4 linked regions of the Arabidopsis thaliana genome follow. The protein of the gene in region 3 interacts with the protein of the main gene of each other region in a pairwise test. Each region holds a gene or a part of one and is shown on either strand. Other genes may lie near its edges.

Region 1 (5,597 bases), on a different chromosome or scaffold from region 3:
CCTTGGGAGGACAATGTTCCTTTGAACAGTCGTCAGCTTTTGATTACCATTTGGTATTCACATTAATTAATCTATAGGGCATATAATATAAATTGTTCAAATTAAGTAAAGGAGTATAAATAAAATATCATTAAGGGGCACAAAACAGAAACAAGAGAACAAAAGATGAGGATCATGCAGCAGTTGGATGACAGTGGTTACTAAGCTGTCACTCGCAAGATCCTCCATCTATCGAATGATGCCTTACCATCAAAGTATCCTAAGAATATTTTCCTTGCAAATAAATATCGAAAGATTTTTTTGTAATATACTCACTCATAGTTGCTTTAAATATTTTTATTTATTACTTTTAATATCTCCACCTACCAACAATTCTCCTTTTCCCCTTCTCACTTTTAACGGTGGGAAAAGTGAAAAAAAAAACACAGAAGAATGAATCAACGCAAACGTCAAAAATGACGTTTAGTTGACATAATTCGCCATTGTGATCATATTGTTATAAACTTTATAAAAACGCAGAGGCTAACGGCTGATAAAAAGTTTGAGTCATTATTGCAAGTATATGATTCAGAAAAATGAATAAGAGAGACAAGGATACCATGAGAAACTCAACTTCCAAAACCAAATTGAAAATGTTGTATCGAGTAGTATTCCGGTTAGAAGAATCCGGTCCGTATCATGAACCAGATTCTCTTTCTGTAGCTCTCGGTAAATAACCTAATCACACTAATGAAACTCAGATAACTAAACTTCCCCATCAGATTAGAGATACTCTCATACTCCTGAGGATTGACATCTAGGCTAGTTTACTATCCGGTTTGTAACAAAACCGAACCGGTTGATTACTGAACGCCGGACAATTTAGCCCAATCTACAAATTGCATACCGCCATACACATTGTTAGCAAACCGGACTCCCACCGTGAATGCCATAGCGACCACAGGGATACGTTTGGCCGCTGTAGAACCTTCCACGACGCGTTCGAGGCCGTTGATGATTTGGTAACGCGCATTGGAAGATAAGCCGAGGAACACACCTGAACAACAGCGCAATACAGAGAAGAGAGTGAATATATATGTATATGTAATCAACAATTCACAGAGTAAACTTCAGGGTTATCTCTGAGCTCAGCAACTAAATTACCCTCTCCATTGATCTAATATTGCTAACAACAGGACAATGTAGCTAATATCTTCACATAGAATTGTAAGCATAATCTATTCTTGGTATCATTGGCAATTCAGGTTCTTTCCTTTCTAAGAAACTAAGCCCGGTTAAGAAACCGATGGCTGATCACAAGAACTCGGAAAAAGAGTAGACAACACAATATCGACGGTTCAAGACTATCGTTTTCAGTGAACATCAGAGGGGAAAAGCATCGATGATTCTGTAGAACATAGTTAGAGATCAAAAGTAAAGCTTACCCCAGAGAGCAGCGCTTTCGAAAAGAGGTGGAATAGGGACGTCTTCCTCTGATTTCTTCACACTCCTATTAACAAAGGTAACCTCAAATTTCAGTGAAGAACAGTTTTTTAAACAGTCAGAAGATTCATTTCATCATTGAAAAGTAGCAAGATAAAGTCGATGGTGAAAGAATACCGTTTTGCTGTCATGATCAGATTTGCAATTCCCTGACCAATGAGGCCGCAGCCGAATCCAACCGACCCATACAAGAGGCCCTGGACCAAGAATCACATCAATTAATCAAACCAAAGGTAAGCAAGATCCACAAAGGACATTAAAGCAATAGTTCTTCTCCATACCTTGTAGAAGAATGTTGCAATCCGCTGGTTAACTGAGAATTTACAACCCGGTCTTTCTGCTTCAAAAACACTTCAGAAGTACAAAAAAAAAAGCATGTATAAGTACATCTCATCCCGAATACACAGCCACCAGCTCGATAGATATCAGTGGGAACAGTTAACACAAAAGTGAAAAAAACGAGAGAGATACAGTAACAGTATTACCTGCTAGGAAGGGATGCACAAGCACGTTTAAGATCCTTGAATAAACCTGTTGATGCCACAGACGGCTTCCCGATACGTGCATAAGGAGCCAAAAGTCCAACCAAGGCAACATCAACCACAAGACCAACTAAAAGATCAGCAGCATATAACTCAAACTCTGACCAGAAATCTTCCCCTCTCTTCTGTACTTCTGCAAAAGTTGCACAGCAAGAGTCTATGGCTACCTGCATTAAATCCGTAGAACAAGATCATTCAATTTCAATCCTAAATAACTAGTCCAAGAACAGCATTAGCTTATTCATTGACAAACCTCGGTTCCAACTTTGAAGAGAAATGAAGGATCTGCAAGCATTCTATTTCGAAGCATCGCACATGATCTCATCAGAAACCCAAGCGGCCAAACAGAACCCTACGAAAAAATTCAGACTCAAACATGAATCACCATCATACAAAAACAGAATCATTTTTTCTCAAAAGCAAAAACCTGTAGATCAAGGTAACGAAGAAGGAACAGTTTTCGAATCCCCACGGATTTAGCCGCTTCCAACATATCCTCCGGTAACGTAATCCCTCTACGTTCTGTCTCTTTCATAACTTCTTCAAACTTCAAAATCGGACCAAACTCCTTCTCCTCAGCTTTATCTGCTTCATCCTCTCCATCATCTCCTTCTCCATCTCCACCTCCTCCTCCTCCGTCTCCATTACCACCATTTCCACCACCGTCGTTGTTCCCATTCTCATCGCCGCCATCACCATCATCAAGTTCCGGCTCCAAATCGCTTAAAGTCTCATCTTTTACGCCACTATAAGCCCAATCCGGTATCGATCTACCGGATATTTCACCCGTAACCACATCCGATCCTACACATCGGTTTCTCAAATTCCGAGAAGACAAGTCCGAATTTAAATGGATCCGTCTAGATTCAACACCAGGGCTTCTACGGAAACAAACCGATCTAATTTCAAACCTTTGACTCACTCTGCATTGCTTTACACTATTGAACCCATCGTTGGAGAAACTTGAAATGTGGGAAATTTTTAGGGAAATAGACATTTGCCTCTTGGGTTTCTATGATCTGTGGATAGAAGATCAAATACCCAGATGCTTAAAAGCTTCAAATGTCTGGAATTTTGGAGTAAAGACGAAGATGACGGAGTTATGTATGTATGCGTTTGATCAGTTGGGTTTAAGGGTTTTGAACACAACACTCTTACCTTGATGGAGACGACCAACCAAGGAGGAGAGAATAATCATGTACGGTTCTGTCTACAGAAAGTTTAGCAAATGGCGGCACATAATTGGTTGAAAAGATTCAGTTAGACAAAAGTGAAGCTCTTCTCATTTTTTGTTCAGAGCCGGCCCAAATGGGGTAAAGCCAGCAGAAGTACCAAAAATCGCCCCCAACATTCGTTTCTTTTTGTTTGTCATCTAAGGATTGTGAGATATTTCTGTATCTGATCTTCAGAGTCAGTTTTCTCCACAAGATGATGAAATAAACTCTATGGTTCTAATCCCTTTTTCTAAGTGTTTGATATAGGTGAATCTTGCTTTAATCCTTGTGTATTTTTCTGGCAGTGTGTCCACTGAGGTGAAGTCAAAGCTGACGAGCTCATGAAGTCAAAACTTCAGAAAGAATGGTAGGCTAATTAATACTGAGGATGGATGTCTGATATTCCATTCCATGCTTTGTATGTTGGTTTGCAAGATTCGGAATTGATTGGTCCTGTTTTAAGACCAAAAGCATTGCCATCTTATAGATATCAAGCGGCTCTAATTTTGGATACTTTGAGGTTGATTCCAGAGTGGAGATTGATTATTGAAGATGCATCAGCAAATAGCAGTCCTTTGTAAAGGCCTTATTCGTTAAGGTGTTTAGTATAGGTGAAGAGTAGTTATGGTGCGTCTGTTTTATTGTTTCCAACCTGATGTTTGTTGTGGTCTCATCCTAATCAATATATATTTTCAGATGACAAAAAAAAACTCACAAACTGCAAGACAAAACTTTGCTAAAGCACTTTCAAAGATTAGTCTCATGAGGCTCTATAAAAATAGTATAGAACCAAAGCAAAATCTTTTAAACAAAAGAAAATATATATCTCCAAAGAAAGGAGAAGCTAAGAGCATCCACAATGGTAGGTTATTAGCAAAGGCTTTTAGTAATATTTTATGAATTGATTTTGAAAGTTTTGTTAAGAGTTTGGGTAAGAATTTTAAGTTTTGGCATGATCAATGGTAGTATATTAAGTTGAGGTTCTTAATTTTTCTAAAAAAAAACTTAATAAGAGTAAAGTGAGGAGAGTCAAGAAATGAACTTCATCTAAAAGAAAGGAACAAGACTGAAACTCACATTCTTGATAAACCAATTGAGGTTTCGAACATGAAACCATCTTTTAAGGGACCAAATCTTGTAGCGTTTCCACTTTCGATTACATCGTCCAACAAACAATCAGAATTCTCTGAAACTATACTATTTAGAATTACAATTTGTCATCTTAAGATACATATTTCTCTGAAACTAATACACAAAATCAAAGAGTCTGTAGACAGAATTCATTTAGGCATATCATCGAACACATGGTATGCAATATATAATAAGCTTTAAATCTTCAGTCAAAAGCTAATGAATCCATCATTGACTATATTACAAAAGCTAATGAATTGATAAAAAACACTTTCTGAATTCCAACTTCTACAATTTCAACATTGTTTACAAACGAAAATTACATAATTTTACCTATTAAAGGAGAAAATGCTTCGAAACTGAGAAGATGACGATGATGGAGAGGATTACGGAGAGAGACGATGGTAGTGGCCTCAAAACAACGCCGGTAACTATGAGTTCGATGAAGAATTGATGCTCGTGAGAGGAACAAAAGGGAAATAATGTTTTTTGTGTTTCATAAAAAAGAAAATACTACACCATTGACACGTCAACATCTTTTAGAAAGTAACAACCGCTCTTACATAAGAGCGCCTCTTGTAATAGAAAGCATTATTGATTTAATTTTATTCAATCAAAAAGCTAAGAACCACTCTAAAACCCCTCGTTGCGGATGGTCTAATGAAAGAAGATAATATTCTCAATGTGACCTGGAAAACACAACATTTCACGAGTACGCTTACCAATTCCATGGATACGTCTAAACTCATAATCCGCAATTCCATCAATCTCACATCTTCTAATACTCTCCCTAGTTATATCACAATAGTTAACAAAAAATGGCATATATGACTTTAACCTCGCAGGTGTGGAAACAATCATAACCTCGCCCGTATGAATCTTTCCGGTGCACAAAGATCTCTCTTTTTCAAACAAATCTCCCCACTCACTAGGCACATCACAAGTTATGATGCTTGACCATTCTTGTTTCTCAACATCTTGTAGAATATACATACCCATCTCAGTGTTACAGTAGGGGTCAAACGCTACACATGCTAATTTTCCTTGGTAATTTATAAGTGTTGAATAACATGAGATTGCATTAAAGTCTTCTGGTCCTTGAATGAACTCAATCTTCTCGGTTCTAACATCAAATCTAGCTATTTTTCTATACAAAACTCCATAGTGTATAGCACCATCTATGCAAATCCCACCTTTCATGTGGCGGTAAGGATCTTCTTCTTTGGTT
Region 2 (7,321 bases), 5.6 Mb from region 3:
GCTTTAATGTCGGTAACAGAGCTCTATATATCTTCTACTCAAGACACTCAAGTTAGGAGATGTTGTGTCAAATGCGGTGAACCCTTTTGCATCAACTGCAAAGTTCCATGGCATAGTGACTTGTCATGCGGTGATTACAAGAGGTTGGGTTCAAATCCTAGTGCAAATGATATGAAGCTAAAATTTTTAGCAAATCAGAAATTGTGGCGTCAATGTGGAAATTGCAAACACATGATCGAACGTTCGGAAGGATGCATCAAATTAACTTGCAGATTTTCATTACATTCTCTAGCTCTTTAAAACAAATTTGATTATGTTTCTCTCGCAATTAATAACATTGTTATAATGTTTATGCATGGTTGATGAATAGGTGTGGCTATTCGTTTTGCTACACATGTGGTGCCGAATGGAAGCAAGGAGGTTGCACTCACCGCTTAGCAGCACGCCGAGCAGCAATCGGTACTTTTATCTTAGTTGTTATTGCCGTTTTAATAATTGATCTATGTTTTATGGTTAACGCTAGACTTAAAGTAGTTTAGTAATCAGTTTTTTTTACATTGTTCATGTTGAATACTAATAATTAAACATTATCAATAGTTTAAAAAACAATGGTGAAGCATATCATAAAAAAGAAAGAAAAATATGACGAGTGAAATAACAAAGAGAGATCTTTATTGTTGTAGAATGTAGAAAATCTTCTTCTTTCACTCTTCATGAGCAAGAGGAACAGCTTGAGCCTACAAGAGAAATAAGAGACTTTGAGATATTACTGCACCAGAGACAACAACACTAAGAAGGGTCTAATAAAGTGTGGTAAGAAGAGAGAGTGTATACCAGTGGGCGGTACTTCAGTGCGTAGAACATCTCAAGGTATCGACGACTCTCAAGACGGTCAAGGTTCGAGACATGTTTCCAAAAGCCGTAGACACCAGTCAATGTCAAGAGCCTCTGTGAGTATATTTGCCAAGTATATCTACAAAACCCCACGACAAGATTGTTAAAAACATTCAAACTATAAAAAAGAAGAACACACTTATAGTTTTATACTTACTTCTCCTGGATCCTCTCAAGTCCTCCCAATGAGATCTGATCCCAGTGAGATGGGTCATGCTTACACTTGGTGAAGAAATCAGCAAGACTCTCAGCTGCCTTGTCACCATGATATGGATCAATGTGGAAACCAGATTTTCCATGCACAATGATCTCAGCAGGACCGCCATTACAAGTAGCGAAAGTCGGTAACCCACAGGTCATAGCCTCAACAACAGTCAACCCAAAGGCTTCATAAAGAGCAGGCTGCACAAATGCACCTTTAGTGTCACATATGTAACGGTAAAGCTCACCGTTTCTCACTCTGTTCATCTGTGAAGAGATCCATCGGAATTGCCCGTTGAGTTTGTATTCCTCTATCAGTTCATACATTTTCTTCATCTCGGCCTTCTCTTCGTTGTCCTGTGACTCTTTCCTCCTGTCTCCACCCACAACCACCAAGTTCACCAGTTCGCGCAAGCGAGTGTTCTTACCGTACCACTCAACAAGACCTGATAAGTTCTTTACACGGTCAAGCCTAGCCATGGTGAAAATTATTGGCTTCTTCTTGTCCTTAAGCACACATCTGTTTTCAAGTATAAGCATAAATAATGTTAGGTTTTTTTTCGTGACATATTTAAAGATCAAGATTAGTCATATAAAAGGCTTACAAGTGCTCTTCGTTTTCAACATCACTATAGAGGAGCTCCTCGATCTCTAGATGGAATGCAGTTAATCTACGCTTCTCCTCGGTGTAAGCGAAGTAGATGCTCATATCTGCTCCAGGAGAGACAATGTTGAACTTTGGATCAAACACATCAATACCGTGAACTACACGGTACAACCCGGGAAGTGTGAAAGATCTGTGGCTCTCATATTGACCAACAGTGTCCTTGCTATAAAAGAAAAGAGGTTGCTTTTAACTCAAACGTTAAACCAATGGAAATTGTAGAAAATTCTTGTTTTCTTGAGACTCAAGTCTTCTCTCTTTACCTTCCAGCAATTTCTTGGAAAGTACTTGTGATGATGAAATCTGTGTGGTTCATGGCGATAAGATCAGCCGTGAACTGGCAAGAAAAGTGATACTTCTCGTCGAGCTTCTTCCAGTAGATATCAGAATCCGGGTACTTAGTCTTCTCCAAAGCATGAGCGATGGTGCACTGTGTAATAATAAATCAAAAGATTCTTAGCTTTAGAGCAAGACAACATATTTCTCAATGGCTATGGATAGAAACAAGAGACAAACCTGAGTGACACCAAGTTTGTGTGCTAACAAGGATGCAACAAGATTACCATCACTGTAGTTTCCAATGATCAAGTCAGGCTTCCCCTGCAACTCTTTCGAGATTTCAGCGGCAACATCCTGTGAAAAAACAAGGCACATTATTCATATATTTGAGTCAAATAAGGGTGAACAAGATCCATGTTTTTGCATGAAGAAAATGGATTTATACCTCGGTAAAAGTCTCTAGATACGGCCAGACCTCAAACCTTGATATCCATTTGCGAACGATTCCTTTCTCTGTTCTAAAAGGCACACGGAGGATATCACAATACTGAGATCCGTACACTTTCTCTAGACGTTGACCACAAGTGGTTCCTGCTGCGTCAGGAAGCAGCCGAGTGATCTGTGAAAACATAAGAGAACAGTTTTAGACATCTTTGCATACACACACAAGAAGAATCACTATAAGCTTACGATTAGGATTCTCGGAGTGATGTTGAGTCCTTGTTGTTTGATGCGTTGGAGCATCTCTGTTTCGAGAGCACGAACTTGATCAAGAATGTAAACAACCTTCAAGAATATATATACGAGATTAAAGATCGATCAAGGAATGAAGAAAGAAGAAGAAATCTTCAAAATGTTTCATTACTGACCTGACCACCTGTGTCAGGGTAACCAAGAACATTGTCCTGAGCAAAGTATCCATGAGGAGAGAGGATCACAACGTTGAAAACCATTGGGATTCTTCCAAGGAAATTCTCAAGAGTACAAGGGTCAGGTGCCTCGAGAAGGTCAAGAAGAAGACGGATCATGTTAAGAACACGCTCCGCGGTGTCTCCCCAGCCTCTCTCAAGACCAATCTCCTGGAACTTGTGCTCAAACTCTGAGTAGAGTGTCTCAGGCTTCAGCTCCATTAGATATTCCTCTGCTTTTCTCAGATTGTGTTGTAGGGTGTTTAGGTTCTGGATCCTATTGTTAAGCATCAGAGTCTACACAGATGCAAAGACAAAGCGATGTTAGACTTTTGTTATTGAGACAACAAATGGAGAGGAGAGTGGCTTGTGATCAAACCTTTCCCTCGTGGGAATGGAGGCGGAGGAACTTGAGCAGCGGATGCAAGCTCTCCTTGTCATGGAAGAGCTTAGCCGAGAGATGGCGGTTGAGGAACTCAACGCCATCTCCAATGTACTTGTTGAGCGTAGGACGAGGGAATGCCGCGTTGAATGGTTCAAAGTCAAGTTCAAGAGTGAAGTTTCCATTCTTACTGCGATATAGTCATGACATTAGTTGAGTAAAAGGGCAACAAGAGAGAGAGAGACAAGATATAAAGAGGTGAAAAACGTACATTCCATCGACGAGCTCTTCCTTGAATTGAAGATATTCAGAAGCTTGAAGCTCCTCAACGACAAGATCATGGAGGTTAACTCTTACGTATTCCCAAACTCCAGGTCTTGGTCTCACAGCTAAAGCAACAAATGGTGGTAACACAATTGCCTCTTGAGCTGATCGGAGAAATTCGAAGAAAGCTCCACCTTTAAGCTTCTTCTGTGTCTCTAAAGGCATTGCCTCAAATTCAGCAATGATCTGGTGGTGTTGTAGAATGCCTTTGCCTTTGGCTTCAACCCTAAAAAAGGAGAAAGAAACAGAGTATTTAGGTTTTTTTTGTAGGTAATCTTACAAGACAAGTTAGTTAGTTTAAAGTGTTGTTGTGTTGTAATACCTTGAGAGCAAAGCAAATACTTCATTTTTCTGAGCAACAAGAGTTGCATCCAAACGCTCTCGCTGGCTGTGGACTCGCGTTATTACACGTTCTGCGTTTGCCATTTCAAACACAATCACAAAGCTTTTGAAACTGCAGAGAATAAGAAGATGAAGAAATGTAGTAAGATAATGGAGAGAGGTTAATTCAAAATGCTTGCCTATATAAGGAAAAATTGATTATGACTTATGAAAAAAGTTAGTTAAATTCCATCATACAAAAATTATCTTAACTTTTTAAAGTTAGATGATTAATTGATTATATATATTTTCCAACATAAAATATTGAAAGAATCATCTTTATTCTGTCCAATTTAAGTTTCTTTAAACATTTTGCATCCAGTATCCATTTCAAAGCAGCGGTGTTTATGGCTTCTCAAATAAGTAATGGAGGAAAAGATAAATCAAACCATGAATTAAAGTAATTCAACGAATTTTCTTTTATAGCAAAAAAAAATACAAAAGATTTCGACATATAGCTGGAAAATTCTCTGTGAAAATATTATTTTCAAAATTAGAAGACGAGTAGAACAGAATATACGCTATTGGTTTTATTTTCTGAATCATTCTAAAATATCTAAAATAAAAAAGATCTTTTTTATTTTATCACATAGATCAAGAAAAATTAATATTAATTAATAAATATAAATAAATCATTAATTTGTCTTGATGAACAAGAAATTTTTTGGTATCAAATCTTACATCTATTGTTGATTAAAAGAAATATTTTATATTTTGTGGAACGTAAAGTAGCTAAAGTAAATATATTGAAAGATTATCATATTTAACAAAAACAAAAAAATGAAAACATGATTTGTTAGCTGAAAATTTTGTAAAATATATATATATATATATTAGCGAATAACTTAAATTGTTAAATTGAATTATTTTCTTAGAAGAAGAAAAGTTTATAATGTGTTTGTTGCATGCTTTTTACGACAATGCTAATTTTATTCTTATCCTAAAGTAAATGACACTATTAAAGAATCTTTCAAAGCATATTCCCTCTAAAAAGCTTTTAATTTCCTCTTACCACCAATCAACAAAAAGTTAAATAGTTTAGTTTAGGCTAAGCGATGTTACATGTGTCGGAAAAATGTCCGAGTATATAATTCTATTTTTAGTGTTGCTAGATAAAAAAAAATGAAATCAAAAATCCATTGATTTACTTTTCCAAAAAAAAATCAATTAATTAGCAGTGAAACCTTTTTTAACCATACTCAACTAAAAATATTTGAAGGTTCTAATGTTTAGCATGTCATAAACATTCAGAGCATTAAAAATTTTCATAAACTAAACTAATCATTGAAACCTTATAACCTCTCATTATAATACATTACAAGAATAGATTACCTTAAATTGCTACGGAAAGTCACTGGCGAAGGAGGTCACTAGAAATATGTAGTGAATGAAGCGAAAGATGGAGGGAGCTATTGCAAATTTTGAGAAAAGTATGAAGAAGAGAAATGATAAGTAGTGAAGTGTGAAGAATTTGAATAGCTTTGTTGGATCATTTTATACTAGTCTCTCTTCTCTTCGACAACTTGGTTTTCTTTAATACTAATTATGCTTTGTTTAGAGAGATACAATTTTGTTTTAAGTTATAATAATTGTAAGTAGTTGGTCAATACCCACGGGTCAATACTCAATACTGATCCACAGAAAAAGAATTCTATTGGTTATCGAGTACTGCGTGTAAAACATACAATTTCTTCATTATTTTATATATAATAATTATGTCAATAAAGTAATTTAATTAACCAAGCTTCACTATTGTAATCATAATGTCAAATTTGTCAATAAACTAATAAGTAAAGTAACCAAAGAAAATAACATCAGTAAACTATGGGCATACAAAACAACGGTTTCAAGACTACCACGAGCAAGCTAGTTTTTGTTTTCTTTGTTATTTTAATTTGCTTAAGATATTAAATTTAATCAAATGGATTCAAAATTGCTTGTCACTTGTTTGTGTGTATGGGCAGTGGGGCCGTGAAGGGCTTTGTTGAAGAAACATAGTGGTAGGTTTAAAATGTTTAATATATACACAATTGTTGGATACACTTGAAATTTTAAATTCCTGGACTTACATAGTTTTAGTTACCACGTATATTTGTCCAAAAAAAAAAAAAAAAGTTACCACGTATACTTGTCACTCCTGTGTGTGACGTCTCAAGAGACTTTTGTTGAAGAACTTGAAATGGTAATCAGTAGAAAAACAAGAAAAAAAATCTATATTGTGATATTTCTGTGTTGGCTTCAAGGTATATATTTATAAAATTCGTCCTATATCACAAAGATCAGAAGAGCGTGTTACTTGTTTTGATATTTCTCAAAGAGATCTAAACTGACGAAGATGTCAGTATTATACTCGGATATAAGTAATCCGGGCAAGAATTCGCTCAGACCATTTCACCTAATACCGAACTAATAGGAGGAGATTTATCTAAATCAGCTCTGACTTAAATATCGGAGAGATACAGTGTCATACACGACCCAAATCAGGTCTTTGGACAAAAGAAAAAAAATTGGCCTATTATTATTATTTTTAATTTTGTTGTGGTTTCTAATTATAGAAATGTTATTAGATGAATACTTGCATGCAACGAGTTTTCGGCTCATACGTCAACTATTTAAAATGCGAAATCGCACCCATCTTTAGGTGTTTATGAAATTTAGAAATCAGACCAGATTCCTAAGTATTCAACAAATTGCTCTAGGTATTTAGATATTTATGAAATTGTCCCAAGTGTCTTTGGTATTTATACATTTACCCTAAATCCTATGACATTTACAAATTTTTCCAGTTCTTTTGATATTTATGTACTTGCCTATGCTTTTGAAATTTAAGAAAATGCAACTGATCTTTTGGAAATTACCAAAGTATATCTTTACAACAGTTGCAGCTAAGAATAGTAGAACAGCAAAATTAAAAATTCTTGGATTATGCAATTGAAGCTAAGTATAGTAAAACAATACATGTTCAGAAATATTTGCATTTCTGTTCTGCTTTAAGCTTTAACGACAAGACATTTTATCGGACAAAACTAAAAGCTAAAACACACAATTCAAGATTAGGAGCTGAAATGCTCAACTGGTGGTACATATAACAAATGAATCATCCCATGTAAACATGTCTTTAGAGATCAACTTCTGAGCTTACATATATTAAAAAGTCTCCAACTGAAACATTCTTAAACAAACTAGTAGAGCATATTGTTCTCTATATACTTATTAAGATAAAATATATTTGCTTACTCCATGGATAGACGTGGGACACAAAAGTCAACAAGCAGCAATGATGGCCCG
Region 3 (5,502 bases):
TTAATTTTTATATGTTAACAGCAGAATAAATCTGGCTAAGTTACTGAATTTAGGGTTTAATTGACATTTCTTGCAGAATTTTACTGAATAATTTAGAGCTTAAATGGTAACAGATGATTTTTTTTTTTAAAAACTTACCTAAAGACATTTTATTGCTGCTCAACAATATTTAATTTTATATTTTATAGATATTTAAAACTTTTAATATCATTTAATCATATGATAAACCTAAAAAATTCTTCAACTTTCTCTTTTCAGTAACAAATTATATTCTAAAATTGAAATATTTGATGACCATCCCACCTTCTCGTTATAGATGTTGTACACGTCAAAATATAGTGGTGGAAAAAAACATTATGTCAAAATGTTGATGAAAAGCCTTAGCGAGGCCAATGGATATGTCATCACATCATGAAACATGTGATGCAACATCATCACTCTGCAAGGACATGAAGATCAATCTGCAGGTGCTTTTTTATTCTTGGTGAAACAGATGGCATATACGTATAAATTCTTCGAGATATTAATTAGTATGGTTCCATAGTTTTTGTCCGGTATACACATTTAAAACTAAACCAAAATCCGAACCGGACATTTTCTCTTACAGTTAGGTATAACAAGAGAGAAAATGACATGTACAAGAAATGTGAAGGAAGATTACATGGATTGGATTGCTATGAACATTGGTTTGGGTTCTGGTCTAGTACCAGTTTTAGACTCCTTAACCGGGACTACTGCATCTGGAACTCTTTGACATATGTTCTTGATAGAAAGGATCATCAGAGCCTTGAACTGAACTCAGTCTTGGAGATGAAAAACTGTATCCTTCCTTATGCATTGCCTCGTGGCAGCTTTCTTCTTCTTTGAACTTGATGAAGTAGATGGATGACCAGTAATCTCTTACCAAGTTCTTCAAATTCATGAGCACAAAAAAATGAGAATCAAGAGAATAGCTTGAAGGCGTGCGTAAGAGAGTGAAAGAGAGATGTTATTTTACCATCTTGATCAATTGCATGACTTCGTTTAATGCGTTCTTGAAGAGATCAGTGTGAGTTAGATCTTGAGTGGTTAAGATCTCTTGTCGGGTTTTATGAGATAAGTTCAATTCCATTTCCGCTCCTGTGTTTTAAGGAATTACTAGTTAGATTTATAGAGAGAACACACGAGACAGGTCTATAAAGAAGAGGGAAGATGGATATGTAATTAACCTGCGACGATGAACTTCTCCATGATATGTCGAGCCATGTAGATTCTTCTTATCGAATCATCTTCCGGGATTTTACCATGTTCATACACCTCTTCAAAAAAATGCAATGTTTCTCCAGCGTAGCAGCTACCAGCATATAACGAATTAGTTTAAATAAATGGTGAAACCGGGATATATATGAGGTCAGGTATTGAATGGAGTACCTATCAGCAAATTCCATAAACGAATGGCGAAATCTTTTATTGAGAAGAAGCTTATCGAGTGGCTCGTTTGGGTCAACAGGTCGAAACTCCTCCTTCCGAAATAATAATCCGCTATCGGGAATGCCTAGAGCTTGACCCATTCTTTGAAACTCAAAGTTTTGTCTTTTCTTCAAGCTGATTTGTGAAAGAAGAGGTTGGTTACTCGAGATGGAAAAGAAGACAACGACGAGAATCCCACCCTGAAAGAAGAATCAACTCAGAAGTCTGTTAAAAAGGTATTCCAACTGCAAATATAAAGAACAGTCCTGGTATTAGCTTTCATACCGTGACTAAAAGCACAAATCTTGAAGCAACCTGAAGCCAAGAGATTTCTTCATGAATCTCATTCAACACAAACGCTGTTACCCATATAACGATTGAAGTGGCTGAGACGAGAATTCCTTTCCAGAGATCTCTAAGCTCGTCAAAACGAAACTCTACATGTCGAACTGCTCTTGTGAATGCAATTAAAGCAAGGACATAGAGAGCATGAAGGCCTGCAACTGGGAAAGTCCATTGAAGACCCATGTGGCATTTATCGTTGAGAGGCTTTGTTGCGTGGATAACTAAATGCAAAATCAAAAGCTTTGAGTTATTATTATCCAAAACAAGAGAAACCAAGAACTGCTCAGTACATATAACGTTCAGAACAATTCTTACTTGCAGCTCCGAAGATCCATGGCAACAAAACAAGGGGGAGGAAAATGTATGATTTTACCGGAGGTAGACGTTTCCTACATTGCAAAGAATATGTAACAACCAAACAGCATTAAACTCAATTACACCAATAGAGATAGAATTGGAATCCAAAAACATTTTGATCAACATTGAACCTCACTTGACAAATATGAAGTATAGTTGAAATGCCTGAGTTATACGGCAGCTCATCAACAAACCAAACCCAAGTGGTCCTTCAATCCACACTGAAACCAAATTATACAAGACTTATTGATATAACTGTCAATTTGTTTACGAAGATGAGGAATCATGGTTTCCAAACAAACCTGCCCAAAGATAGCAATATCGCCACCAATGTTTCGTCCTGAATCGAAGCAAATTAACTGACATCTGAAAATTAAATATAAAACAGTCTATTAGTGTAGAAACTCAACAAATGAAGTGATTCTTAAGAGCAACGGAATCATCAAGTCAAGTAGTCTAACCATAATTGAGAAGAGAAGGTTGAAGCTGGAGATAACTTGAATAACAGGGATCCAGAAACTGCTACTGTTAGTACGAGGAGCCTTATGAATCAAACACGGTAACACTGAGCGCGATAACAGCCTAAATAAACAAAGTGAAATCCATCAGATAGAATCAACTTAATAGAGAAATTGAACTACTTGGAAGTTAACTCATGATACAAATCCACTCAATTAGTCCATTAAATCAAGCTTTTGAACTTCAAATCTAAGTTCAATAATCGATTCCGACATAATATATGAATCTTGCTATCAAGATACTGAAACCATCTAATTCCCAGCTAAAAGAAACTGAAACGAAACAAAAGACAGATCTTTTGATACATAACATCAAACACTTACAATACAAAGAGTTAAAATAGCAAAGAGAGACATCGTATGAAAATTTTAAACGATTAAAGACACAAAATTCGAGATTTTGACTCAAGTCAAGAGTCAACAAGCAAACCCAGTAAATGAAAAATCTAGATCTTCAAAACTAAAACCCAAAAATGGGATTTTTAAGCTCGAACACATACACGAAGAAGCAGATGACTGAAATTGCGACGGCGACGTAATCGCTGGGACAACCACCATGTAGAGCACATCCACTCGCCATTTCTATTGTAGCATATCAGCTCTCTCTTCTCCACTCGCTTTCTGGGTTTTTGAGATTTTATTTGGTTTCAAAGCTTGTTGCTTTAATGTCAAGGTAAAGTGTGCAAATTTCTATAAATTCAATAAAAGAAACTTCATTTATCGATGTTGAAACAAAAAGCTTTAAAAGATTCACACTTTCGCATAAGAGAAGAGACGTCTCTGTCTCTTCATTGTTCACGTTTCTCTCTTCTTCTCTGACTTTTTTGACCAGAAGACACTTCCTTTTTCCGGTAACAATTCTGATTGGTTTTTCACTTTTCACTTCTATAATTATAGATTTTTCATACTTGTCCTTTGTGACAAGTTGGTACATTAAAATTACAATAACCACCCTCTATTATAGATTTTTGACATAACCACCCTATACTATTGAGAGATTTCACAAACCCACCCATTAAAATTGTATACTTTTTTAATTCAACCCTGTTGTAAATTTTGTTTATTTCACTCCAATGACTTGATCTTGGAACTATATCGCCACAACAGACCTCCCACCAAATTGTTGAGTGCGTGCGAGGCCATTGGAACGATAAGACTCGACGACAAAACAGCTGCATAACCGTAGACTATACCGACAATCGAAGCCCTGAAAATTTCAAGAAACCGCAAAGAATTCAATAGGAAAACCTCGGAAATGTGATAGAGAGATGCAAGAACATGTTAAAGGCAATCATCTAATATCAAGATTCGGTCTACGCAATTCTCATCAGCATTGAGGTACCAAAATGTTCAGTAAAAACGGCTTACCAAACTGCAAAAGAATACTTTCTTCCGCTCCCGAGATGAAGTAAACCGAAAATGAGGCCAACCGCTACAATACCATTCCAATTAGTTCCGAACAAAGGCATTAATGCACCTCTAAACAGCAGCTCCTGTGAATACACCAAATCAAACCAATGAACGACATTTTCTAAAGGAGAGCCTTTCTGTGTTTTATTGTGATTGTTTATTGTTACCTCACTTATTCCCGGTAACATTGCAACAACAAGGTAATCTAGAGGTTCGAGGGAAGTGAGAATCTGCAAGTAGTGAATACCAAAGGAGACAATAAGCGGAGTTTAAAGAATCGTATAAATGTATATAATGTGTAATGTTTTGACCTGTCGGTTTGCTGCTTCACTAGAATCAGCAAAATCTGGCCAAGATTTAAGTAGCAAGAACCTACTTGACGATATAAACACAACGATTCCAGCAATTAAACCGAGATGCCAAGTTTCAAACCCAACTGCAAGAAAGATCATGCAATACAAAACATGTTTTGGTTACTGAATCTCTCAAAGGATTCTTAGTACACAACATAATCGTTTTCCGAGATGTTACATGGTACATCTATAGAGCAGTCTGGAACCAGTAATCCTTCAGTCGAAGCAACATGAGACGCCTGCAAGCGGTAACCAAATCAGCAAGATACAAATGCTAGAATCACAAAATCATAAACTTTCAGATTTGGGATTCACCTTTCTGATGATCAGACCTAGTGCAGCCATCAAACCGGAAGTTACAGTGCAAGCCTGAAGCACTTTGTCTCGAGGAGCAGCAACAAAAACATCAATGGAGTCCTTTGAAGTTGAAGAATCAACTTGAGCTTCCTCAAATCTTGGAGAAGAAACTTCTTCATCTGTAACATTTCTTAAGCCTATGTCTTTACCTTGTTGTGACTCTCTTTTGAGTTTCTTAAGTGATTTACGACTTGAAGAGGCTCTTACATCAAACTTAAAACCCAAAAGACAAAATAAACAGACTATAGTATAAGAGATCATCTGTTCGGACCAAGAAGCGGCAACATTAAAGAATCTTACTTGTACTCTTCGAGCATCATATAGCTTAGGGTTCGAGCCAACTGATCATCAAGTAAGCAAATTTCAACCAAAAATCTTTGTCGAATTCTCATATATATGATCATATCAAGTTAGGAATCGCACTTACCTACCTGGACGAAAAAGGAGATGAAGAGAAGTTGAAGCTCCTCTGCTCCAAGATTGCAGAGCGATGGAACCCATCCGAGATTTTCGCCTGCCTTCTCAAAGTTTGTCGCTTTGATTCATAAGAGAGACTCTGTTTCCAATATAAAACAAATGAAGAGTTTCACGAAGAAGAAAGCGTCGAAATGAGAGGTCTGTGTCTCGCCAGCTTCATACGGCGTCGTTTATCAGAGAAAACGCACCAAGAAAGAAGAAGAAATGAAACCAAATTTTTATTGTAACATATTTCA
Region 4 (7,881 bases), on a different chromosome or scaffold from region 3:
TGATGATGTATATAGCAATCCCCATCAATCAAACCATACGGAACCAAGAAAAACAGAGTCTAGAGCAAGGAAATGCGCCTTTTCTGCTTCTTCTTCTTTTTTGCTGAGTATTGAGTTAAGCATAGTACATGTACAAGCTATTTGCAGCGGCGCAAGCAATTGAGTTCTCGTTTGGATGCCAAGCAAGATGCAGCAGCTTTGTTGTGTAATCAAGAGCATTAGTATTCCCATCGACTCCCGGACTCTCTGATCCTGTTTTACAAATTTCAGTATTTATTCTATTCATGCCAATTTTTTAATAATGCTTAAACGAGCGAGATGATAGAGAGAGAGATACCGACCTCTACTTACGACACGCGTTATACTGCTTAGTGCTCTGGATGGCCTCGACGGAATTGGGACATGTCTCCTATGATAAACCACAACACAAATTCCATTTCACCAAGAGAGAAAAAACAGAAGAGCACACTACTGTTAATGGCTTTACCAAGTTTACCTCATTGGGTTTCTGCTTGCTTCTAAGGTTGCCGTCTCAGTACTTCCGGGGGCAACACCAAACACACGGAACAGATTGCTGGAAAGTGTATGAAACCGAACAAATGATTTATACAAGGAATCATAGTCATTCGAAAATGCGAATAACAAAATAAGATGCTCTGCTTCTTGGCATACCTGTAAGAACCTGTAGCTGCTCGCAAGCCATTGCCACTTATACAACACTCGAACTTGTCAAAGATGGAATCATTTTCATATAAATCACAGAGCTGAAAATGACCACAAAGGGAATACCATTCAGCAAAGCACCAACTCGCCAAATGTATCTCTCTCAAAATATTAGGAAACTGACCTTTGGTTTCAAATATTCATGAACCTGGAAAGTTGCTACTGGACCTGCGTCCATGTTGATGTCCCATAACTGGCATGTAAAACATAACATGGGGTCAGTTTACCTTACACGAACAAATCGAAACCAGCCACTGATAACTTCGAGGGGATATCATATTGAATGATGAAAACAGTGAAAATATGGACCTTAAGTGTCATATAGTCACGGCTAAGTAGATATCTTCCTTCTTTTGCAAATTTGATGTCTGAGACTGAAGCAATTATCTCAGTAAAGAACGATTTAGGACCTGCTTGCTCTGGTTCCTCAAACCTGCAGAAACAAGCAATATTAGCCTTTGCTGCTACCACAGGTTATCAAATCCTACAAAAGAGTAATGTCATTAATTTGCTCTCATGCAGCTTTATCCATCTCAATATTAATTGAGTATTACATGGTATGATGCTATAAACTTATCTCTCATGTTGGAATAAAATGTTTAGCAATCAAATTTTGATGAAATAAAGAAGTAATTGAGATGATTATACAAGTTTTTAGATCCTCCTTTCAAGATATACTGGACTCTAAAAAAACTTAACATAATTGCCAGTCTCAAGACTTACAATTTTGAATGTGAATCACATAAAGCTGACTGGCGCAGATCAATCAGGCGAATTGAACCTTTCGAACTGCTATAGGCTAACATATTGCAATGGGTAGGATGAAATTCTGCTGATGTGATAACCTCTGCATGAACGAATATGGTCGTAAATTCGAAGGATATCGCATCCAATTGCATGATAAATGGGTACCGTATAAGAGAACATATTAGACTGAGATAACAGTAGACCAAGGCTTACCAGATAGATCTTCCATTTTCGCAGGCTTGACATCAACAATATTGAAACTTTGATTGCTAATTTCCAGATTCCAAAGATTAATTCGCAAATCATCAGCAGAAATAAATGTTTCGCCGTCGCTAATTATAAGAGAAAAATTATTAGGAGCAGAACATTATCAATGAAAGTATAGAACTCGAGCTAATATCAACAAGGTGTCCGTTTGGATAGGAACTTGAAAAGGTGCATTGATTATCTGGATAGACAATGATTTATCAGACGACTTATAGTGACATCATTGAATTTTTTGCGGACAAATAAAGCAGTTGCTAGTAAGAAGGAAGCAAGTTGAATTCCAATGGGTGAATAACCTACCTGTTATTTGAGATTGAATTAATATGATAATCATGAGCATGAGCATATACTCTTCGACATCTAGCCACAGGGCTCGACTCATGGCTAGTTACCTGTATATGTCAAATGAACTATTAGTCTACAAATGAGCAATATTAAGTAATATTGCATGACTTAAGAATCAATTCCTAATCAGTGGTAGTGAAGGCCATGGAATGGGAAAATGCACAAGTACGAAAAACACAAGTCCAGCACCAATGAACAGTAAATTTGAGCAAAGTGTATCATTTTTCTGGACGCATATACTACATGATATGATCTATATTACTTCGACTCAATTGGCGCCAATGCAAAACCCTGCATTTGAGTTTTAGCAATCACCCAGAAAGAGGTTAGATAAATGGTTGGCTCTATGATGCAGGTTTTACTTAAGTTAGTGCTGAAACAAGCATAAATATTTAGGAAGACACAGAGAATAAAGAAAACATATTGTTCAGGGTACAACTACCACTGGTAATCGCAGCGAAGAGATGCCTCCTGCTGGCAATGAGAAGTCATTACATAAGGAGTTGTTCACTTCAGATACTCCTCCATTCACAAGGCATGAGTTTGTAATGTTTGAATTGCTCGAGCTTGCAACGGTTCCGTTTCCTACAGTTCTTGAAGGATCTGAATTCATATCACAGATTTTCTTGATCTTCTTGTCTTGAACCTGTTAAGACTCTCACATAAGAAAAAGAGGAAAGAAACTCTGTACTAATTAAGGATGTAGAACCATTTAGATACACACCAAACAATGTCAACGCCAGAGAGTTCAAATTTCAACGTTCTAAAGATTGAATATGAAAGTATCAGCTTTACACCTTAAATATCCAGAAGCAAACAAAAACTTCCTATCTTAACAGTATGTCATTCAGAGGCAAACAAACGAAATAGATGAAGTTTTCACCTTCCAAAACTTGATGGTTTTATCATTGGTCGAGAGGAGAAAAAGAGCTCCATTTGCTGTTTGACACCATCTAATTTTGTTAATTTTCTCCTCTATCTCCAAACTCTTGAGGTAATCAAACTGGTAAACAAGGATAGAGCATGAAAAGACAGATAAAAGGTATAGCCAAATAGCTGAGTAAGAAGAAAACAGAGTAAATCAAATACCTCAGGGTCATGACTCTGAAACTCTGTTTTATAACGAAACTCTGGATGCCTCAGTGGATAATCAGCTTCTTCAAGCTCTCTTCTGGTTCCACTGCTCTGTAATCCACAGCATGCAACAACAACATATAACCAAAATGATCCAAATCCCATATCAGAAAAACGATTACAAGGTAAAGTGGACATACATTATTGGTATCGGTTCTCTCGAAAAGAACAACACGTCCTCCACGGTCCCCAGTAGCAAGATGGTTTCCAGAATTATCAAATTCAATCGCTGAGATTATATCAACTGCAGAGGAAACACCAGCTACAGTTTTTAAGAAATTTCAACTAAAATTCAGAATAACATCGATTCAGCAAAACGAAAAACGACTATTGAATCTAATTCAACTACAAAGCTTACAACTTTCAATTTACCCAGATACAAAGTAGACCAAAAATCAAAACTTTTTCATTGAATCGAACAATCAAAGAACACCCAATAGATCTAACATATCCAGATTCAAAAACCCCAATTCCGAATAGATCGAATAGTGAGCTGATGAAAATCAAAAGCACAGAGAGACAAAGTCAAAGAGAGATGTGTAACCTTCTTGAACTTCTTCACCAGCGCTTCGTTCACCGAAGACCTGAGAGAATCTCCATTCCAAAGGCAGAGATGGGTCTGCCGAAGCTGCGACGACCTCATCACCACCGTTCATTTCCCTCTCTCTCTCTCTGTCTCTCGCTCTCTCCGATTCACACACACTCCTCTCCTTGGGATAAGATAATCTAATTGATCCGACGATGAGGAATTAGCCGGATCGGGAAATCAGAGATTCTGATTAGGAGACAAACCGGATGGAGCTCGTCGCCGATAGATGATTGAAGCAAATCGATGAAGGAGGAGAAGAAGAAGAGTATCAGATGATTCCCAGATTTCGACAAACAAATAAAATCACACAACACTCTCTTTTTTTTTCTCTCTTTATTAAAAAAACAAAACTAAAAAATGTTAATATTATTTGGTATTAATTTTTTCTTATTTTTGGTTTTATCACTTTTTCTGGAATTAGTTCACAGCTTTTAATATATTACTAATTGTAAAAATTTAATGCAGGGAAATCTCATTTATTTTCAAACTTACATTTTTCTCTAAACGACTAATTTGAGATAAAAACAATATATTTCTTTTTTTTCACAGTGTTGAAATTTAGTGGATGTAGATTTTTTTCATTTTTAAGCTTTCTTTTTTTTTTTTGGATAAAGATATGTGTTCCTACATGTTGGAAAAAAGAGAAGAAAATATATACTGTAGTTCCTACTTCACAATATACATTTGTCTTTATCCATTTAAATTACAGTTTCACATGACAGTTTGTGTATATAAAGATCTCACTAGTAATGTAAGGGTCAAAACAAAAAGTGAGAGTTATGTCTTCTCTGGAAACTTAATAATATTTTGATTTTAAATATGAGTATTATAATTTTAAATAACGATATAATAAAATTAAACTTCATCATGAGAAAATAATAGTCATATCTGCTTAGCTGTAAATTGGCTTTTTTGGTTGTTGATATAATTCCACAAAGGAAGATAAAAAACAAGACCGTTTATTTTCGGTTAAGAAAGAAACAACTAACACTCTTCTTCGCTCTACTTTGATCACATATCACTAACTGTGATTCTATGAACACAGTTTAAAACAACGTCCGCCGGAATCTTAGGATCATATGGTACGCGATGGCGGAGCGAGAATGTGGATAACTGACCAAGAAGTCTCTCCAAAAACTATGGTGTAATCAAGCAAGGAAGATCACTAATTAGCTTAATTATATATCTTTCTATATCTCAATACCCTGAATCTCAATCATGATACGATTAAATGTTCATCGAATTTCGAATTTTTAATCTAATTTTACATTTGTTGTTTTAATCCCTAATGTGGTACTTAACGAGTAGCTATATAATTAGTGATCAACATAGAAAATGAAGGCTTCTACGAAGAAAAGAATGATGGTTCACTGAATCTCTTTAAGCTAGCCAGATGCAGCATAGATACAAAGCACAATTCTTGAGACTAGTAGATTAGTAGTGATTCACTTGTACTTACGTTCATTTTAACGTACAGTAGCAAATCTGCGAGAAAACCGTTGATTTTATTGTTATAGACTTGAAAACTATTTTATAGCTTGTGGATGTACATTGAACCTTCATTAACTCATGTTTGCCTTATGCAGAGGGATACTCCGTTTTTTTGCTCTCTTGTGCATTAAAACTGAACACAAAACATAGATTTTTCGCATTATTGTCCATCCACTGGTAGCAGTTTAGTTGCAGAGCTTTAAGGTAAGAATACAAACAGAGACTAATAAACTGTAATGATTTGAAGGACTATCAAAAATATAATAAAGGTGAAAAATCAGTATCTTGTAACAGTTTTGACTTTTGAACTATGATGCTTTACTTTAATTGGCCTTTTTCAGTGGTGGCTCGCTAGGTCAAGTGGCCTCTGTTGATGATTTCGTATACGATTAGGTGACTGATAACCGTTGCATATTTATGAAGATTGTTGCTGACTTTGTTTTTTTTATGAGTAGATAACATTTTTTACGTTCATAAAAGGTGAAACAAGGTTTTCGCAATGTGTTCGAGTTTAGTTGCAAGAAAATGAGATTTGAATTTATCAAGATTGAAAAGTGTTACCTGTCTCTTGAAAAATTCTTTTGCTGACTCCTAGAAGTGTTGCAGCTGAAGGTACTAACAAGCAAACAATCAGCAAAATAAACTTTATTTCTTCAATATTTTGATTCATTTTTCTGGTTAAGAAGACGAAGTAAGGTGGTTACACAGATAATGACACTAAACAATAGCACATAAGATTTGGATTATGAGAGGAGTTGAGAAGTTATATGATGGAAACTGAAAAGTAAATCTTTTTGCAGAGCTGTAGAATCAATCAACATTTGATGACTTGGACTTCTTCACCATGTGTGTTGGTGTGGACCATTGAATTGACGGTTTTGCCATTCACCAACAACAGCATGAGTTTTTGAGTCTTCATGTTTGGTAAAGGTTAGGCTTATTAGGAGACACGGGTAAGAGACTAGAGAGAGACATTCTCCAAACCTTTCTTTTGCATGTTTTGTAAGAAACATTTCCGAAAATGAAAGAAATCTTACACAACATTCATATAATTTGTTTGAAATATAACAAAATGATAATTTATACTCTCAAGTAAAATGCCTAAACTTTTATCAATTGGAAAAGACATCACACACAAGCGTGAAGCGTATCTTATTACCAAACCCAACTAAGCATGGGTCTCGATACTTGCCATAATTACTTTAATCCATTCTCTTTTTGAGAAATGTATAAAACATGACTTTGCATAAATAGTCTTTTACTAATTACTATGTAAATAATTCCTAAGACTGGTTTCATGGTACATATTATCGTTTTATCCTTGTTTTAAGAATATTCAGATGTTTGGTCTATGGAATATAGTCTATTCTTCATGTTTAAAACTATTATTTGATAAGAAAATATGTACTAATATGTTTTTGCATACAAATGTTGATCAGTTCGTAGCATTTGAATTAATACATTCTCAATCACTTTCAAGCATTATTATGTAATAAATGATTCATGTCGAAAAGTAATAGTATCACTGTCCATTACATTTGGCATATATATTTTTTTGTCAAAGCCTTACATTTGGCATATTGACGAAGCAGTTTTGTATTCACTTATATTTTGACATCGCTTTCACAAAAATAAATAGCTATATATGATTATTATCCATTAATTGTCTCTTTTCTTTTGCTGACACAATTGGTTGTAAATGCAATGCCAATATCCATAGCATTTGTGTGGTGAATCTTTTTCTAAGCCTAATAGTAAATAAATCTCAATACAAGAACCCATTTACGAACAAATCAAACCAAGTTGTGATGGGTTAGTACTTAGTAGCCCGTTTGAAATGTAGAATTTTTGATGAGATTTTACGTTTTATATAGATTTTTCTCAGAAAACAAAAAATTCTTGCATCTTGCATTTTGGTCATTTGTAAATATTTTTTTAGTCTTAAAAAAGACCCAAATTCTTATTAATTTCAAAATTTTCGGTCTCTAATACCTCCGGTTTTAAAAAAAAACATATCAGTTGAAGGATGAGTTTGGTGAAGGCTATATTGTCCATTGATTTTGGAGATATATGTATTATGGTCATGATTATTACGATTTTTATATAAAAGAATATTAAAAATGGTGGGGTTGGTGAAGAAATGAAGATTTATCGTCAAATATTTCAATTTTTACTTGGACTATTGCTTCGGTTATATCGTCAACATGGGCCCACTCTTCCACCAAAGCCCAATCAATATATCTCTCGCTATCTTCACCAACCCACTCTTCTTCTCTTACCAAACCCATTTCCTTTATTTCCAACCCTACCCCTTTATTTCTCAAGCTTTACACTTTTAGCCCATAACTTTCTTTTTATCCAAATGGATTTGACTGGTCTCCAAAGTTGAATTAAATGGTTGTAGAAATAAAATAAAATTATACGGGTTCAATTGTTCAATTGTTCATATACCGTTGACGTTCAATTGTTCATATACGGGTTCCGTGGTCGTTGGTAATATATATGTCTTTTATGGAACCAAAATAGACCAAATCAACAACAAATGAAGAAATTGTTAGAGTATGATACACTCATATATACCCAAA

What was found.
Region 1: the proteins of RGS1 (region 3) and RER1 interact in a two-hybrid assay, tested with the Arabidopsis thaliana proteins (one large-scale study listed by BioGRID).
Region 2: the proteins of RGS1 (region 3) and SUS4 interact in a two-hybrid assay, tested with the Arabidopsis thaliana proteins (one large-scale study listed by BioGRID).
Region 4: the proteins of RGS1 (region 3) and B ALPHA interact in a two-hybrid assay, tested with the Arabidopsis thaliana proteins (one large-scale study listed by BioGRID).

The regions. Positions count from the first base shown.
Region 1 is NC_003076.8:7,598,553-7,604,149, forward strand, and holds RER1 (reticulata-related 1), read right to left. Parts: upstream 3,971-5,597; 5' UTR 3,022-3,970; coding exon 2,452-3,021; intron 2,377-2,451; coding exon 2,278-2,376; intron 2,192-2,277; coding exon 1,968-2,191; intron 1,834-1,967; coding exon 1,764-1,833; intron 1,680-1,763; coding exon 1,600-1,679; intron 1,490-1,599; coding exon 1,425-1,489; intron 1,037-1,424; coding exon 843-1,036; 3' UTR 529-842; downstream 1-528. Other genes in the region: AT5G22791 (F-box family protein), read right to left, coding at 5,027-5,597. UniProt on the Arabidopsis thaliana protein: May play a role in leaf development.
Region 2 is NC_003074.8:15,178,500-15,185,820, forward strand, and holds SUS4 (sucrose synthase 4), read right to left. Parts: upstream 5,607-7,321; 5' UTR 5,366-5,606; intron 4,166-5,365; exon of another isoform or gene 4,107-4,165; 5' UTR 4,079-4,106; coding exon 3,975-4,078; intron 3,879-3,974; coding exon 3,600-3,878; intron 3,519-3,599; coding exon 3,326-3,518; intron 3,244-3,325; coding exon 2,908-3,243; intron 2,825-2,907; coding exon 2,729-2,824; intron 2,658-2,728; coding exon 2,484-2,657; intron 2,393-2,483; coding exon 2,276-2,392; intron 2,190-2,275; coding exon 2,023-2,189; intron 1,926-2,022; coding exon 1,701-1,925; intron 1,616-1,700; coding exon 1,052-1,615; intron 974-1,051; coding exon 835-973; intron 738-834; coding exon 705-737; 3' UTR 511-704; downstream 1-510. Other genes in the region: AT3G43180 (RING/U-box superfamily protein), read left to right, coding at 20-143, 371-438. UniProt on the Arabidopsis thaliana protein: Sucrose-cleaving enzyme that provides UDP-glucose and fructose for various metabolic pathways.
Region 3 is NC_003074.8:9,530,630-9,536,131, reverse strand, and holds RGS1 (REGULATOR OF G-PROTEIN SIGNALING 1), read right to left. Parts: upstream 3,520-5,502; 5' UTR 3,250-3,519; coding exon 3,170-3,249; intron 2,734-3,169; coding exon 2,613-2,733; intron 2,518-2,612; coding exon 2,454-2,517; intron 2,373-2,453; coding exon 2,288-2,372; intron 2,184-2,287; coding exon 2,110-2,183; intron 2,016-2,109; coding exon 1,735-2,015; intron 1,650-1,734; coding exon 1,411-1,649; intron 1,334-1,410; coding exon 1,209-1,333; intron 1,120-1,208; coding exon 998-1,119; coding exon of another isoform or gene 989-997; exon of another isoform or gene 973-988; intron 911-972; coding exon 722-910; 3' UTR 503-721; downstream 1-502. Other genes in the region: AT3G26085 (CAAX amino terminal protease family protein), read right to left, coding at 3,735-3,876, 4,038-4,162, 4,247-4,309, 4,391-4,515, 4,611-4,671, 4,748-5,130, 5,221-5,290.
Region 4 is NC_003070.9:19,162,209-19,170,089, reverse strand, and holds the start of B ALPHA (protein phosphatase 2A 55 kDa regulatory subunit B alpha isoform), read right to left. Parts: upstream 6,016-7,881; 5' UTR 5,967-6,015; coding exon 5,858-5,966; exon of another isoform or gene 5,494-5,857; coding exon 5,400-5,493; exon of another isoform or gene 3,943-5,399; coding exon 3,761-3,942; intron 3,479-3,760; coding exon 3,357-3,478; intron 3,268-3,356; coding exon 3,172-3,267; intron 3,086-3,171; coding exon 2,966-3,085; intron 2,729-2,965; coding exon 2,522-2,728; intron 2,130-2,521; coding exon 2,038-2,129; intron 1,803-2,037; coding exon 1,684-1,802; intron 1,571-1,683; coding exon 1,447-1,570; intron 1,157-1,446; coding exon 1,033-1,156; intron 917-1,032; coding exon 848-916; intron 765-847; coding exon 673-764; intron 575-672; coding exon 497-574; intron 410-496; coding exon 342-409; intron 253-341; coding exon 116-252; 3' UTR 1-115. UniProt on the Arabidopsis thaliana protein: The B regulatory subunit may modulate substrate selectivity and catalytic activity, and may also direct the localization of the catalytic enzyme to a particular subcellular compartment.